Oreochromis niloticus: one gene and its partner. Each later gene encodes a partner of the first gene's protein in a complex. Links are inferred from orthologs where the notes say so. Each region holds a gene or a part of one and is shown on either strand. Other genes may lie near its edges.

Region 1 (7,749 bases):
TTTAAATCTGCACCACTGTGTTTACAAAGGGTGCTGGATTAACTGGTTCTGCAGCTTTATTATAACAGCCGTAGAGACAGACTGTAGCTGTGATTACTGCAGCAGAATGACATGCCACCTTAACTCTGAATTTAACATGACTGTTTTTATTTGCTGTAACATTATACACCAATTTTTATGTGCACCCAGTGATGGATTCACTGTCCAAGTCCCCGTCAGTGATGCTCCGCAGGCTCAGATGCTACTGTAGCTGTCTACAGCAGTGCAAGTTAAACCACACTGGCAGCTGGAGGACAACAACAGTGTCCGTAAACAGCTTCAATCACCACAGCAAGGCTGAGCAGCTGCAGCCGTGCTCACAGCCAGCAGCTGGTTACTCTAACAGAATGGCCTTTTAAAATGAATAAAAAGCGCAAACACATCATGGCACATTTCATTTCTGTAGTATTAACCCTTAACTGTCTGCGTCTTATAGCTGGACAGGAGCCACACACCGACTGTATGGAGGGATCACAATGAATGTGAAGCATTTTCCTCTTCTATGTATGCAAAATATTTGTGAGGCACCACAAAACTAAGACAAAATACTGGATTCAATAAAATACTCAATCTATTTTCCAGCTAAAATGACAAAAAACTGGAGAGCAGCTGCCGGCCTGAGCACAACATGCCTTTAACGTAGTGTTTAACTCGACTTTCTGATCATTCGGTGTTTAAATAAAGATACACAGGCCTGGTTTGTCATAAATATTCAGTTACTTTTTCAATTTCATTAAAAAGTTTCATTAAAAAATGTGGCATCTAAACTGATCACTCTCTGAGGAATCCAGTCAGACTTTATCTTCATGTAGTAGAAGGAAGTTAACCTTTCATGATATCAGATGTCGGACACGGAGCCGTACCTGATGAGGGAAGATGAGGAGCTTTGTATCCAAGATGGCTCAGCTCAGCTAACTGCCCCTGATCTTCATCATCATCCTCTAAATAAGGCATGAGTTCTGAGGAGGGATGATTCTGTGAAAAGCAATAAATACCTTTGTATCTTACATTTGAAATGTAACTAATTAACACAGGCCTGTGTGAATTACACCAGGAAGAAACCTTAGAACTTACACTGGTTCCTAGTCTCATCTGATCAATGAGGTTCTCTGCCTCTGCGTATTTGGTGAGTAATTTATCATATTCAGCCTAAAGAAAATAGAGAGGATGGATGTTACAGCTCTATCTAAGAAAACAGTAATGCAATGATGACAGAAAATATCAGCTAAAGAAAATGAAAGTCTAACGTTCATTTGCAATGCAAAGATATGATCTGAATGCTTTCTACCTGCAGATGGTGCACCAGTGCAGGAGGAGTGTGCTTTTCTTCATCTTTAAAGACATTAGCTTTCCCGGCTGGCAGGACTGAGTCCTCCAAGACTCTGCTGATCACCTCTAACATGCCTGGGGAAGACTGAGCTCTGTGAATGGTGCTAGGGCACTGAGGAAGTGATCTGGCTGGGGTTTTGGGGATTTTCACTTTAGGGGCAACCTTGGAGAAGTCAGGGAGCGGGTAATGGACTTGGCCTTGGCCATACTTCATCTCGCTGAAGGATCTTGTACGCACCAGAGGAACTCTCTGAACCTGCTCTTCCTCCTCATCTGCTTTGTCCTGCTTTACTTCATCTGCACTGAAATCCTCACTGCTCTGCTTAGAATCTGTACTTTCAGAGTTGGATGTGCTGTTTGCATAAGCACCAGATGTGAAAGTAGGAGTCTTCTTTTGTATCTGCTCTTCTGAACTTGCTTTTTTTGATGCAGCATTACTCTTTTCATCTGAGCTCTCTGTGTGGTTATTATTCACTGCTTTGCTGTTGTGTGTTGGAGCCCAGCTAAAAACACTGTCGTCTGCACTCTCCAACAGGGACACCTCTGGCAGGGTCTCTGCCTCGATCAGCCTACCCAGCCGCAGCAATTCCTCCTGGGAGAAGTGCCGCAGCAATAACTGGTTAATGTCTGCAGCACCAGGATGCGGTCCACCAAGCTCACTTTGCTTGAAAGCATCAAAAACGTTGTCCTGCTTTGTGCTGATATCGTCTTGCAATAATTCAAGCTGACCAGAAAGATCAGGACTTGTATGAACAGTGTGTCCTCCATCAGAGCTAATGTTTCCCTCAGAGGAATCTTTCTTGTTGAAGTAAGGGCTTCCAATGTTCCCATCATATGGCAAGTCCTCCTGATCCTCATCACTGGTATTTTGTCCAGTGTCCTCACTTCCCTGGTTTATGGGCAGCTCATCTTGGATGGTTTTTGATCTTTGGGAAGACACATGTAAGAGGTTTCTCTTGGAACTGCTCTCTAGAACCCTCCCGCTCTGACTGCCCACACTGCTCTCTGAGGAGGAGTCATCCAACCCAGACAGCTCCGCGTCCCCTGCAAATTAAAAACCCAAATACCATGAAAACCTAATTACAGGGTCATGTTGATTCCATTAAATTAGCTTGTTGTGATTTTTAAGGCTAATGATGAGAGTGAAAACTAGCTCATGACTTTGCAAAAAATATATGTCATTGCATTTGTTTTGTCACACCTGAAGTGAGCAAAAAAACATAGCAGATGTTTAACATCCTGCATGCCAACATATTTATAATGATGTATTATTAAAAAATTTGTTTTATCTAAACTTTTCATCACATACGCAGTAATTCACCGTAGTATACAAGAAACCTGACACAATAAACAACAGTGCTTGCATGTCTTACCACTAAGATGGATGCTTGCTTCAGAGGCAGCAGACTCTGCCTGGGACAGATGCAAGGCCAAAGAACTCTCCAGATCACTGAAGTGGAGACTTTCATCCTCACTGAGATCAACAAAGAAGCTCTGCTCGATGCATTTTTCCCACAGCACTACGGATCTGTCCTCCCCCTGAACATCCTCATCCGACTCTCCCAGGTCTCCCTCCATGGACTCTGCAACAGAAAAATGGATGCACTGTTCAATATCTCCTCACCTCTGTTAAGAAAAAAGGAGGGTGAGAAAACTGAACGAAGCACCATTCATCTCTTAGCAACGCAACCTACAGAGTGACAACACTGGATCAAAAAGCACTAAGGTGTCAATTATTCAACAATCAATACAATGTGTGCACAGAAGATTGCGTGCCGCAAGGGTGTAAAGTTTTTGAGTTAATTATGTGCTTGGATGAAACGCATTGTGTCTGTTTTGAGTGTCTGACAGCAGCAGAAGGCTTATGAATAAATATATAGATAAATATTTTTTAAAAAGTAATTCATCTATTTCATTCAGAAATAAATAATTTGTTTTAAATGGGTTCTTCCTTCATAGAATAGAAATAATCCTTAGTTTTAGTATCTGTGACTTTGCTAAAAATTTAGACACAATGTGACTGATGAGGCACTGATGGACGTGAATACTAAGATTTTTAGATGTGCACAAGACTGTCAGTCAACTGCTTTCTAAAAGCTGTGTTTTCAATATAAAACCTGTACTGATTTTCCTAAATCTTACATCTGACACATGCCCTCCATACAATAATAATAATTTAAAAGACTAAATCTAACACTGAAACTATTAAAAGCTAAACTATATAAATACACTCTGTGAACTAAACTGAATTAAAAACACAAAATCAAATTAAATAAAACCCCAATTAGAAAATACAATATCATAACGACTCTGCTGTGTAGCCCCTGACCCTCTGAACCAAGAAAAAACCACTATGCTAAAAGAAAAGTGTCTGTGTCATAATATAAAACTATTATCTATACAAAAACAAATTGTAAAATACATTTTGCAACACATAGGAATCTGTTAATATTGCACATCATTAATATAGAGTTAATTATACCTATATAATAGCCTGATATGATATTTCAATAGATCATAAGTTTTTGCATGTATGTTAACAAAATCTGTCATGTGATATATGTATTCAGGTACTTGTTACCATAACCGTAATAACTACATTTCATAAGAGCGGTGGAGCAAAAGTATATAAAGTACATATATCTCCTACTACAAGTTACATGTGAGTGTTACCAAACACGTTTAAGCTTCTGTACTGTTTCTGCATGTAAGTCTGAGCTGCATTTCAGTGACATAGTGCCACTGAAATGCTTTGCTGGCGGTGGTCACTTACCTTGGTTGTGTTTAGCCAGCTGGTTCTTCTTCAGCAGTGTGCCATTACCTTTAAGTTGATCCCGGTCTTGAAACTAGCAGCGATGGTTTAATATCTCCCCCCTTCTTTCTTGACATATGCCTTCCTGAACAGGTTTCGTTTTTGTGGCATCATTAATAATGGATACAAGGCAGCGCTGAACGTCTGGACCCGCGGTGACAGCAGCGTGCATGACACTAGCGGGGTCTCGTTGCTAGGTAACGGTGCTGAAACGTCCTCCAAAAGGCTGCTAGCAAGTGACAGTTTTGGGCTATTGGCCATTACATACTTATTCTCTCTTTAAAAATAAGTATGGGAATGTGTAGACTTTCACCTTCCTAAATAATGTGTATTAACACAGTGCCGAAGCCCCACAAGTGTGCAAGGCGTGTCAAACTTTCAAACATAATAAAGCTCGTGCTTGTCTCAGCTACGTTATCACAAAAACGTCACCCTTCACCATTCAAATCGGTTCGTCCAATGAATTTTATGCAGGGGCGTGACTAAATTTGAATGCCGCTCTCTGATTGGCTACTTGGCGAAAACACATAAAGCTAGTGCACCCGCAAGGGGTTTCTTCGTATTTATCGAAGTTAAATCGAAGTTTTTACCGAAGTTGGAGGATAATGTAGCCGTAGGCTGAATATAGTACAGCTTGTTGTTATATTACAGGCGTCCACTTTTTTTCTCCCCCGTAAACGCACCCATGTTTTTAATCTCGTGAGACACTAAAGAAAAGAAGACAAGTCACCTCTGTTCGAGCTGGATCGCCTAACGTAAGTTTAGCAGCTAACAGGCTAACGGTGCTAGTCTTTAGCTGGATGTTGGTGGTGATGTGTGAATGAATTAACTGGTTATGAATAAAGCTAAAGAGACAGCCATAAGATTAACTAATCTGGGACACCATAGCTCTGACAGTGGTGTCCATAATGCGAAGTAATTTCTTCACTTTAAAGTAGTTATCACTGGAGCTGATATTAAAAATCTATAGATGAATTGTCACCATTAGTGTAGTGTAGGGCATAGCTTTACTGTTTGGTATATAGTATATAGTTTGGTATAGGCTATAGTGTATTGCTAACAAGTGTTATACTTGTGCAGTTGGTTTATATTGCATGATTATGACCACTTTTATCGTACGTAATTCATTTCTTACCGTAGTTGCACTCATGTTAGTGTAGTAATGGTCATGAGAGCATGCACTCAAACGCACAGTCTTGTATACCTCTACATCTGATTGTATTGTTATTACTATACGGTGTACACAATATACCCAGTTGCCAGCATATTAGCTCCACTTAACTGTAACTAGTGCAACCGGCTTTTTGTTTATTTAGTCTATCCTTTAGGTAGGTGTAGCTGTGTGTATGTCATCAAGTGTAATGTAATTCAATATTTAATGTAGTCTGTATTAAGCCCTGTTTTAATATAAAAAAAACCCCTGAATAGCCAGCATTGCAACACATGTTTATGAACTTTGAGGTTATTTATGGTTGTAACATTGTTTCTTCCAGGCTTCCCAGATTTCCTGTTCCTGTGTGGAAGAATTACCGGTCAGTATCCCAGTACTTAACTTTTGTTTTGGTGTGGGGTTTTTTTGCTGCCTCATGGTGTGATGCCAAGTGGTGCTTCCATATTTAGGTTTTGTTGTCAGAGGCAGTAGTCATTTTAGAGCATCAAAACATAGAAAATAGCTCATATCGGTTGTGTGTTAAGGATGAAATCATGTTCTTGTTTGTGACTCAAAAAGGAGTCGGCGATTAGCTCCCGTGAAGCTGTCATTAAAAACGGCATCTTTATTTTTCTTTCTTTGGACCTTTATGCATCAGTAACTTTTCTCTGTTTCACTTTTGTTCATGCACACTGTAGTTTTATGAGCCAGACAGAGTTCTCAGAAACACACCCAGATGGCATATGGTGTTGGAAAAAGCTGCAAGGATGTTGGCACACAACAGTCGATCATTATATTAATGTGCAGGAACATGTACGGTAAAGCTCCCAAAGCTCTGGGCATTAATCACAACCATTTACAATCATTTACAGAGCAGCAGGAATAACAGGATTGTCAAAAAGTTGACTCCACCAACTATGTATATATATATATATATATATATATATACATACATATATATGTGTGTGTGTGTGTGTGTGTATATACACATACAACATACAGGTTGTATGTGTATATGTACACACTCAGGGCAGAGTTTGAGAGAGATTTGCTGTTATTCAAATGTCATTAAAAACTGCAAAAAATTGAAATCTCTCAAAAACTTGTTTAAAAATAAAAATTATATTGTTATTATGTTGTTATTTAGTAGACAAATAACAAACAAACAAAATTTGCTATTGTACACTCAAATTACAGTTTATATAAAAAACAATATATAATTATTGTCCTTCACTATTTTTTTCAGGTTTTTTGCAAAATAGTAAATTTGAATATTCTTGGATAATAACAAAAAGTACATTTTAGCTAGAAAAGCTAAAAAAAAAGAAAAAAAAAGACTTTGCACATAGTAGTGGATTTAATATAATAGAAATATAAAAATGTTTTGGTAACTAACAATTTAATTAAGGGCAGTGTGGCATGAACCTTCCATTGGGTTGTGGTTGGATACGTTTGTTAAGCACTGTATGTGCAGCATAGATTTTTTCAGTTTCTACTGCGTTGTGCCTTAGAGATTTTTGTCTTTAATCTCAAATGAAAATTGAATTGAAGTGATGTTTCTTGTTATCAAAGCACCTTTTTGTGCTGCTGTGGGTCTAATGATTAACTCTAATACTTAACAAGAGGAACAGTTTATTAATCAAAGTTCCTGATATTAGGTTTTTGTGAATATTGGCTTTCTTGTTATGTATGGATTTGTAAATTTAGTAAGCAATATTACCTAATATAATATAATGTTTCATTGACTGTAAAATAGCACTCATCAATCACATAATCTAATTATAATCATGACCATTCTCAGTTGTTACTACCATCCTGATCACTTCTTCATTTTGGGGTTTTTAATTTGAGCCAGCTTATCTTTGATGTAGCTGAACAAATGCTCTGTTGGAAACAAATAATCACTCATTATGGCTCATTAGGCCACCTACTGCATGTCTGTCTTGTAATTTAGTTGCTATTTAACATAAAGATGTAACCCAGTTTGCAAATAACTGGCCTGCCCCATTTCCCATATTGTGGTTGTGTGTGTCTGTGTGTGTGTGCGCGCGTTCAGGGGAGGAGCTGACGGTTTAAACTTGGGGAACTAATGGGTGTGGCAAGAATAACCTCATGCTGAAATTAGGTAATGGCTGGTTTAGATTTTTACTTGAAGCAGTCTCTACTTTCCATGTAGCACGCTTATTGCTGTCCTTTCCTTTGGTGGAAGTAGCGTACATGCAGCAAGTCTCTCTGCTTTTTCCCAGATTCTCAGTTTACCTTGTTTTTGGGGGGAGATTTTTTGTTTGTTTGTTTGTTTTTTTTGTTTTAAACCAATCATGCAGCAGGTTTCTGGTTGCTTTTTCTTTCTTTTCAGCTACTTCCTAGGCCATGATTTCCATTCACACACACTGTAGATATTTTTTCCTCCTGCTTTGCT
Region 2 (7,556 bases), on another chromosome or scaffold:
GGAAAATGGAAATAAATTACAAAGAAAGAAACTAGTTTATCCAGAAGAAAGAAGCTGATCGTAGAGAATGACTGGACCAAGTCCACTTTCAGGCATGTAATATAGTCTTGAAAGAGAATGACTTGGTTGTCAGCAACTTTAAGGAGCCTTTAATTATAGGAGCAAATATACTGAAAGGGTTTGACAGTTTTTGATAGATGAAAGAAGTTCTCATGTTCAGTATAAAAAACCACTTCAGCATCACAGACACGGTTCTGACTGCATAATGCTTTGGCAATGAGCTCTCAAAAGCCAGACTTCCGTGGAGTCAAGTGCAGCTTCATGTTTCCAGATTTAGTAGCAGCCACACCCTCAGTGACAGTAACTGTTCATCTAGACTGGCACTCTTTTAATGTGACAGGACAATGTGTGGGGGTGAGACTGTGGAGAGACGACATTTTTTACAGCGGAAACCCTGATATTCCACACCCGAAAACCTAATTAAACAGCGTGGCAGCACAGTGAGGGCCACACCTGCATGTGCGGTTCATGCTGACCACAACACGCCCTCCTAAGCTGTTCATCAGACAGGCAAGAGGAGAATCATGGCAGATTTATCCCTAAGCAACCATGTACTGTATTATTAGAAGAAGTGCTAAACAGATATTAAGGGAAACAGCAGTCGTAACCTGTCATCTGAGAATAAACGTTTGATAATGTTCTGCTTAAATATAAAATGAGGAAGAGGAAGGTCTGAGCTCTGTTTAGACTGCAGCCTCTCCGAATAGATAAATTTTAAATGTAAAAATGGCAGTCAACTTAAATTAATGTAATTAAATTCATCTCCAGTAAGAGAATTTATGAGGCCCAAACCACAGGAAAGAATTGTTGCACATTGTCTCATTTTGTCTACTTGTATTTAGATACTTTAAGTACACAGTGTACACCATGCACTTATTTAATTCAACATGGGGGGAATGATGCTACTAGCTAGCTAGCGAGACCTGGCATCGCCATGTTTCTGAAAACTGATGAGCAATCTCTTCCTTTCTGTTACAATTACAGATTGTAGGCAACCAACTTTTGGACTTTTTTCATTTAGGTACTTGTGCACTGCAGTAGAGTACTTATTAGTATCAACACACTTAAGCTTAGCAATGAAAATGAGGTGGGAGCCAAGCTAGTCATAAACATTAGCTAAAAAAAACACGTGCTTAGTATGTTCATCAGGCTATAACCTGATGAGAACGTCTTTCATTCTGTTAAATTTAAATATGAGTTTATAGTTTTTCAGTACTTTTTCTTAATGCTTGACATTGATCTTTAACATCGTGACAGTCCTAATGAACACATTGGGTTATAGCCTACATTACGGAAGCTGAAATCATTCTTTAAAATGAATAATCATGTAGCTGTCTCAGTCTATAGTCTGTGGATAAGAACTTATTAAAAAATCTGCACCTCAGCTTTGACTTCATATTAATGTTTACTCTCCAATGACAAACAGCTTAGGTTCGATCATCATCCACAAATACTGCTGGCCTATTTTAAGCTGAATAGTCAACTTGTGTCATGGTTTATAAAACTGGGTGTTTATCGTTTGCTTGGAGCATAAATTAAGAGTGCACCATTACAACACTGCATTATCATAATGTATTGAATCTACAGAGATTCACCGTTAGGTCTTGTGTGCTGTTGTTTTGCACATAATTACACAGGGATTTGCTTGGACATGAAATGCTTCTGATTCAGATTGAATATTGCTGGTCAGTGGTCTTTTTTTCTACTCATACATTTCTACTGAGAACACAGGTAACATCTCCTAAAATGGATATGGTGAACAGACCAGCGTGGTAGCGCCTATAAACTCTCAGGGTTCATATGAAAAAACATGACACATCTCTCATGTAGTCACTAATTGCCTTTGTCATGCATACACACATTGCTCACAACCACATCACAAACAGACAGAAGCCTGTAGTAAAGGCATGTGTCCTCATCATTACCACCGGCCTCATTGTAATCTTTGTTGTTTTGCAGAGTCTGAGCTTCCATCATTCCCACACGAACCAGGTCAGCCTATTCTAAACAGTTATAGCAGAAAGTTGGAGTTGAACACGGTGGAGTTCAACTCCAATGTGACTCAAACACAAACGCGCAGAATACCTCGCATCTGAGAAAACTTTGCTGTATCCCAAAAGGACCATTCATACTTAATTCGATTATAACAAAAGCATTTAGAAGACGGGGTAAAGTGTACGAGTCAGTCAGCTATGATGATGGTTTTAACTGTTATTTGAAAGAGAGGAGTTTTTCTTTGGTTATGTTGATGATTCATTTTGTAGCGCATGTATGAAGGCTGATTCAGCAAAAAAGTTCTATCCTGTAGATTCTTTTTATGACTAAGTAGCACTATAAAATAATATGATGTTAAAACTGAAGAAAATAGTGCAGAATTTAGCAGCTAAAGCTATCAGCTTGGTAGAGACCAAAAACAGAGCAAAAGGGGAGCAAACACTGGACTTACCAAAATTCCAATAACATTCATTTTAAGTTCCAAGGTAATGAAAAACCTACAGCAGGAAGCGCATATGCTGACGACTTGTGAGTATTATGTATTGATCATTAATAACCATATTCAAAAGTATTTACACTTTTGTAGGACTTCTAGAGATCCGAACTTAATTTTGTGTCCTTTTCCTATCTGACACTTTGAGCTTGGTTGCTTTTCACGTCTCCTGTGCTTATGAGATTTAAATAATTCACATCCCTAATGAGTTTCCAGCTGCACCTTACTCAACACGGCAACAGCATCGCCAACTGGAAAAGTCTGTGAGCGCTTGGAAAAAACCAGATGATCTGCCACAGATGCCCTGCATTCTCTTTTAAGTTTTGTATTTGAATGCTTCACAGCTAAGTCATGCAAGCTAAAGTTTCCCAAAGTTCCTTGACAGAAGCGTTTCACTATTCCCAGAATTTGAGATCAGACTGAACTCTTTGCAAAACTTACCCATTCTCTTTGTCAGCAACTGAAAGCTTTAAGCGTGTCCAGTCGGGTTCATAGTTACAGCTCGTAGTACTTCTCAGCACACTCTCTCTGTGTGTCTTCACTTTCATTCACGCTGACTTAGTCTCTGTCTTCCTTCTCGGAGCCCAGCTGGACCAACCACCTCTGAAGCCTGCTGCAGTAAGACTGCTCAGAGTGTAAACGTGACTGGCCTTAAAGGTTTTTCTTGAGGAGAACAAACCCACATCCCACTGTCAGTCAAGCAGCTGAGCATAGTTTCAGCTGGGCTGCCATCCAAACAGACATGAAACTAGTCTATTTTGGTCTGCCATATGAGCAGTGGTGCTTTTCAGAGAGAGGAGGTGGGGGGGATTCTGTGGTGGAGCATGTAATTGCAGAGTGACCAGTTATGGTGGGATGTAATTGTAGACCTCATCAGATATAGAGAAACTGCCAACAAGACAAGGTAAAGGACTTTAAAATAAGGCTCTTGGAAAAAAAAAAGAGAAACACAACAGACCACATAAATAAATGAGGAGCTGGGTTCCAGATGTGGCAGCACAGGGAGGGAGGGGAGGAGAAGTACAAGGGGGAGAAAGAAAGAAAGCCAGTTGAAGGAACTGCCATCGCAGCAGAAAGAAATCTCATTTCTGACGCAGTGAAAGGGTGTTTACCTTCTCAGGAGCAGTCTCACAAGACGGTATGGGGGGATTGGGGAAGGTGAAAGGATGTTGGGCCCAGCCTTATGTTGTTTCTGGACCGTTACCATGAGTACTCATGGGTGTCTGGTTTCACGTCAGCCTTGGAAATGACTACCTTATGGAAAAACTCGAGGCTTTAAAAATGAGGAAGGAAAATGAAAATATAAACGGCTGTCGGCTGGTTCCCATTACAACTGAGACTCAGCTGGTCTGGGTTGTTGCCACTAGTGTTGCTACGTATTCTTGAGTGACTAATTATTATGTGACTTTATGAAGCGGGTACCACTACACACGCACTCCCATGCCCACAACACAGGCCTGTTATACTTTAGGGTGTTGATAAATATTAGCTTTAGTTGAAATCTGAACATAAACACCTAATTTCCTCAGAAATCTTACCTCATTTCCTGGCAAAACCATCAGGAGAGTCAAAAGCAGACTGAGAGTCACATTGCGATGTGTGAAGGTAATCCTCAGCCAGACACAATTTAATTGTAAATATAGTCAAAATCACATCAGAGCCATTATTTTAAACTTCCTTCATTTTTTTCTGATATATGTACCTAAAGATTTAAATATTTCTAAGTGATTACTGTTGATGTTATGATGCTATTGCTACATACGTGCAGGAAATCACATTACTATATTAAAAAAAAAGACATCAATGATAATACTAAAAAAAGAATTCAATGTGACAAAAATGAAACAGTAAATTGTATTTTCTTTATATTTATTTTCTTTGTTTTTTTTAAATATTGAGTTTGTGGTGCAGTCAGAAAATGTGTGTCTTTTGTTATTTGCCGTGTTGAAACCCATTTTAAAATACTTCACATAATTTTGAGTACAATTGTTTTTTTTTATTATTATTTATGTGGACATAGTACATGAGTAGCATATTACATTATATAATATAACAGTTATAACCTGCTACTGTATTGTTCATAACAAAGTCAAAATAAAATAATGAAAATAATGAGATATTTAGAAAGCCCTCAGTACAATCAACAGCAGTAAGAAACAGTTTTAAATAACTCTGCATTATTAAAACTTCTACGCACTTTGAATAAGAGGTCAAAGGTCAAATGTAATATGATTTTTTTTAAAATCCTTATACGGTACTTTCTATATGTTGATAGTACACGGGAATCATAGTTTCTAATTTCTAAGACTTTTTGTCAATTTTTTGACCGATAAATCATTAAGCTGACCTTGAAGACCTTGGTGGATATAAGGCAAATTATGATGAATTGTTAACATGACCCCACTCTGCACCCCTACTTAGTTTTCATTCAAAACTTTTAAAGATATCATGTTTACAGAGAGAATCCTACCAAAAACCTAACCTCGTTGGTGGTGGAAATATAGTTCTGCCAGGCAGCTACATTTTTCTGGTTGCTTGTATGTGCTGACAAAGTTTTATTAAACATTGTTAAGAAATAACAAGGATTAAAAGATACATTGAAATATGACTCATTTTCCACAAATTTCAAACTATTCCAATAAATCGTTCAAGCGAAGCATCGTCCAAAACCCCAGGTTTTGAAATTGGTTTGTGGTGTAGATTTCTTGGAATTGGACGAGCAGTGCATCCTCTCTTTGGAGTAGAGGGCCAAATGATTGGTTTTCTTATATGAACTGTCTAATTTCCAATTGCAAGGGCCCCATTAAAAAGCAGCTGCATACCATTATGACTGTTATTCTCATTGGCATAGTGAGATTGTAAGATTATTGCTGAGAAAAAAGCCCCAAAACCAAACCAACCCCACAAATCAACCCTCAACCTATCACCCCCCTCAATTATCAGAATATAGGGTTTATTTTTTTCCTTATCTGTCATGCAGGAAAAGTTTCCATGTGGATTCCAGCATGGATTCAACTTCAGCAGCGATTTCCTCAGGCATATAAGCAGACAGATAGTGAGAGCAAGAAAGAATAAGTGGAAAGACTGTAAAAACAACTGACAGACGAGGGTTTGAAGGCTCGAGAAGGAATGAAGCACAAATCTCCTTTTCTGTTTATACTCCCATAGCATAAGTTCACATATTAGTCAGACATATCCTGTCATCGGGGAAATAATAAGTCATCCAGTTGAGCGGCTAGAATCAAGACCAAACATTTATTTCTCTAAATGTCTACAGCACTGATCTAGCGTGCCTGATGTTGATCGGTTGCCATTTTTCCTCGCAGAGTCGATGTAATTCATAGAAACTAAATACGATGTTTGACAAAAGTACATTTGCTTTCATGGTACTGACAACTCTTGCGTGCACGATGCACTCAGATATCTTGCATTTGCTCTGGTGCACACTTGGCATTCATCCGTGCAGCCAAATAGGATCAACCATATCCTGTTTTTCACTTTCACCCTTATTGAACGGGCTCATTATCCCCTCAGTTTCCTGACTTGCAATCCCGTATTTGCTATCCAAAACTGTAGGGCCTTTATTTATCCCTCCTTCAAGTATTTTGTTTTTAGTTCTCCGTCTGTGATTTTGCTTGGAAACCCTTCACATCAAATGGTTTGAAACTACTGGCAGTACACTCAAAGTGTGCTATTCCTGGGAAAATACAGCATAAAATGGTAATAATGTATTTGTATGATATTTATCTTTTCCAGTTTGTGCAATTAATGTGATTAAATATTTGATTTCCTGTTACATAATTTTCCAAATACAGCTAGAGTCATTTTTTTGTTGCTTACTAATGATGTGCACTTTTCTTTGAGCCTTTTATGTAGTTTGTACTCTTCTCAGTCTTACAAATGACCACTCAAGAATTAAATAGTCTTCGATTTACTCTTGGATTATATGTTTCTCTTCATCATAGACCTACATGAGAGTTCAGCAGGTCTTTATCTTCGTAACAAAACAAACAAGAGTTCAAACACAAAACCCATATAATCATTTTATTACTTGTGCCTTTTCATTTTGCTTTTCACTCTTTTCTAGGTTCAGATATTCTTCCTCATTTGGTTAATTGTTTGGGAAAATGAAAGAAAAAAAAAGCTTAATCAAGGAGTTAACTTATATGGAGATGACTATTTCAGTGTTTCCATCACTTGAGGCAGATCTGTGAGACTCACTGAAACTTTGGTAATTATGTTGCCATCTATTGGAGTTCTGCTGCAAAAACAAGTGAGCCGCAAAATGTTCAATCATGCAGCTATTAATGTTTCACAATTAAAAAAACAATGTGTGCAAAGGTACAAGCTGAATCTCTTAGATAACATTTACGGCCAAGCCTTTCTTGTAAAATCAAGACTTGGCTTTTGTGTGCTGAAATAAGTGGTGAACATTTACCTTCACTGAAGCTAAAGAACAACTCTGACGGCAGGTTTGGCTGCATTTTATTAAGCAATTCCCCATGCACTGTTTTTTTCTTGTATCAACATGTATTGTAACATATCCATGCCACTGCGGTGTCATCAGAAATATTTCCAATGAAACTGATGTGTTCACACATTCAGCTGTGCAACAGGAGTGTGTATGACTGTGGATTCCGTTTTTCTTTCCAATACTTTGCCAAATTATAAACGTGTGCTACATGTTTTCACGACGTGATTGTGCATTCGTCAGTGGGAAATAGTGTCAGATTTCTAATCAGCGACTTACAAAGAGCTCTCTGCCTGTGAGATTCCATCATTCGTAATTTGTGGACAGTATTTATCAGTATTAATAATACAAATATAAACTTCTCCTTATATAATCAACTTCACAGTCACTCAGCGTCCTTCTACACTTGCTTAAAAACCTTTGAAGAACAACACAAGTACCCCAAACCCGAGTGTATCTAAAATACATTTTAATCTTGCTGAAACTTGTTTTCACAATATTGTTTACAATATTAATTGGTCTTCATTTTCTGCATCC

Evidence for each region.
Region 2: the proteins of gpsm2 (region 1) and insc are in contact, whole or in part, in a crystal structure (PDB 3RO3), measured with the Mus musculus proteins. The link is inferred for Oreochromis niloticus from reciprocal best matches to the Homo sapiens genes GPSM2 and INSC. Residues at the interface, in NP_083798.2 of Mus musculus: Asn210, Tyr213, Leu214, Phe218, Arg242, Ser246, Asn247, Asn250, Ile253, Phe254, Tyr265, Gln283, Tyr286, Ser287, Asn290, Thr291, Thr293, Leu294, Arg323, Trp326, Ser327, Asn330; in XP_006507722.1 of Mus musculus: Val72, Asp73, Ser74, Val75, Arg77, Trp78, Met79, Asp81, Leu82, Lys83, Leu84, Met85, Thr86, Glu87.

Annotation. Positions count from the first base shown.
Region 1 is NC_031982.2:13,949,651-13,957,399, forward strand, and holds the start of gpsm2 (G-protein-signaling modulator 2), read left to right. Parts: upstream 1-4,745; 5' UTR 4,746-4,935; intron 4,936-5,673; 5' UTR 5,674-5,712; intron 5,713-7,386; 5' UTR 7,387-7,455; intron 7,456-7,749. Other genes in the region: protein AKNAD1, read right to left, coding at 903-1,014, 1,114-1,188, 1,328-2,412, 2,742-2,946. UniProt on the Homo sapiens protein: Plays an important role in mitotic spindle pole organization via its interaction with NUMA1. Required for cortical dynein-dynactin complex recruitment during metaphase. Plays a role in metaphase spindle orientation.
Region 2 is NC_031972.2:42,885,609-42,893,164, reverse strand, and holds the start of insc (protein inscuteable homolog), read right to left. Parts: upstream 3,253-7,556; 5' UTR 2,990-3,252; intron 1-2,989. UniProt on the Homo sapiens protein: May function as an adapter linking the Par3 complex to the GPSM1/GPSM2 complex. Involved in spindle orientation during mitosis. May regulate cell proliferation and differentiation in the developing nervous system.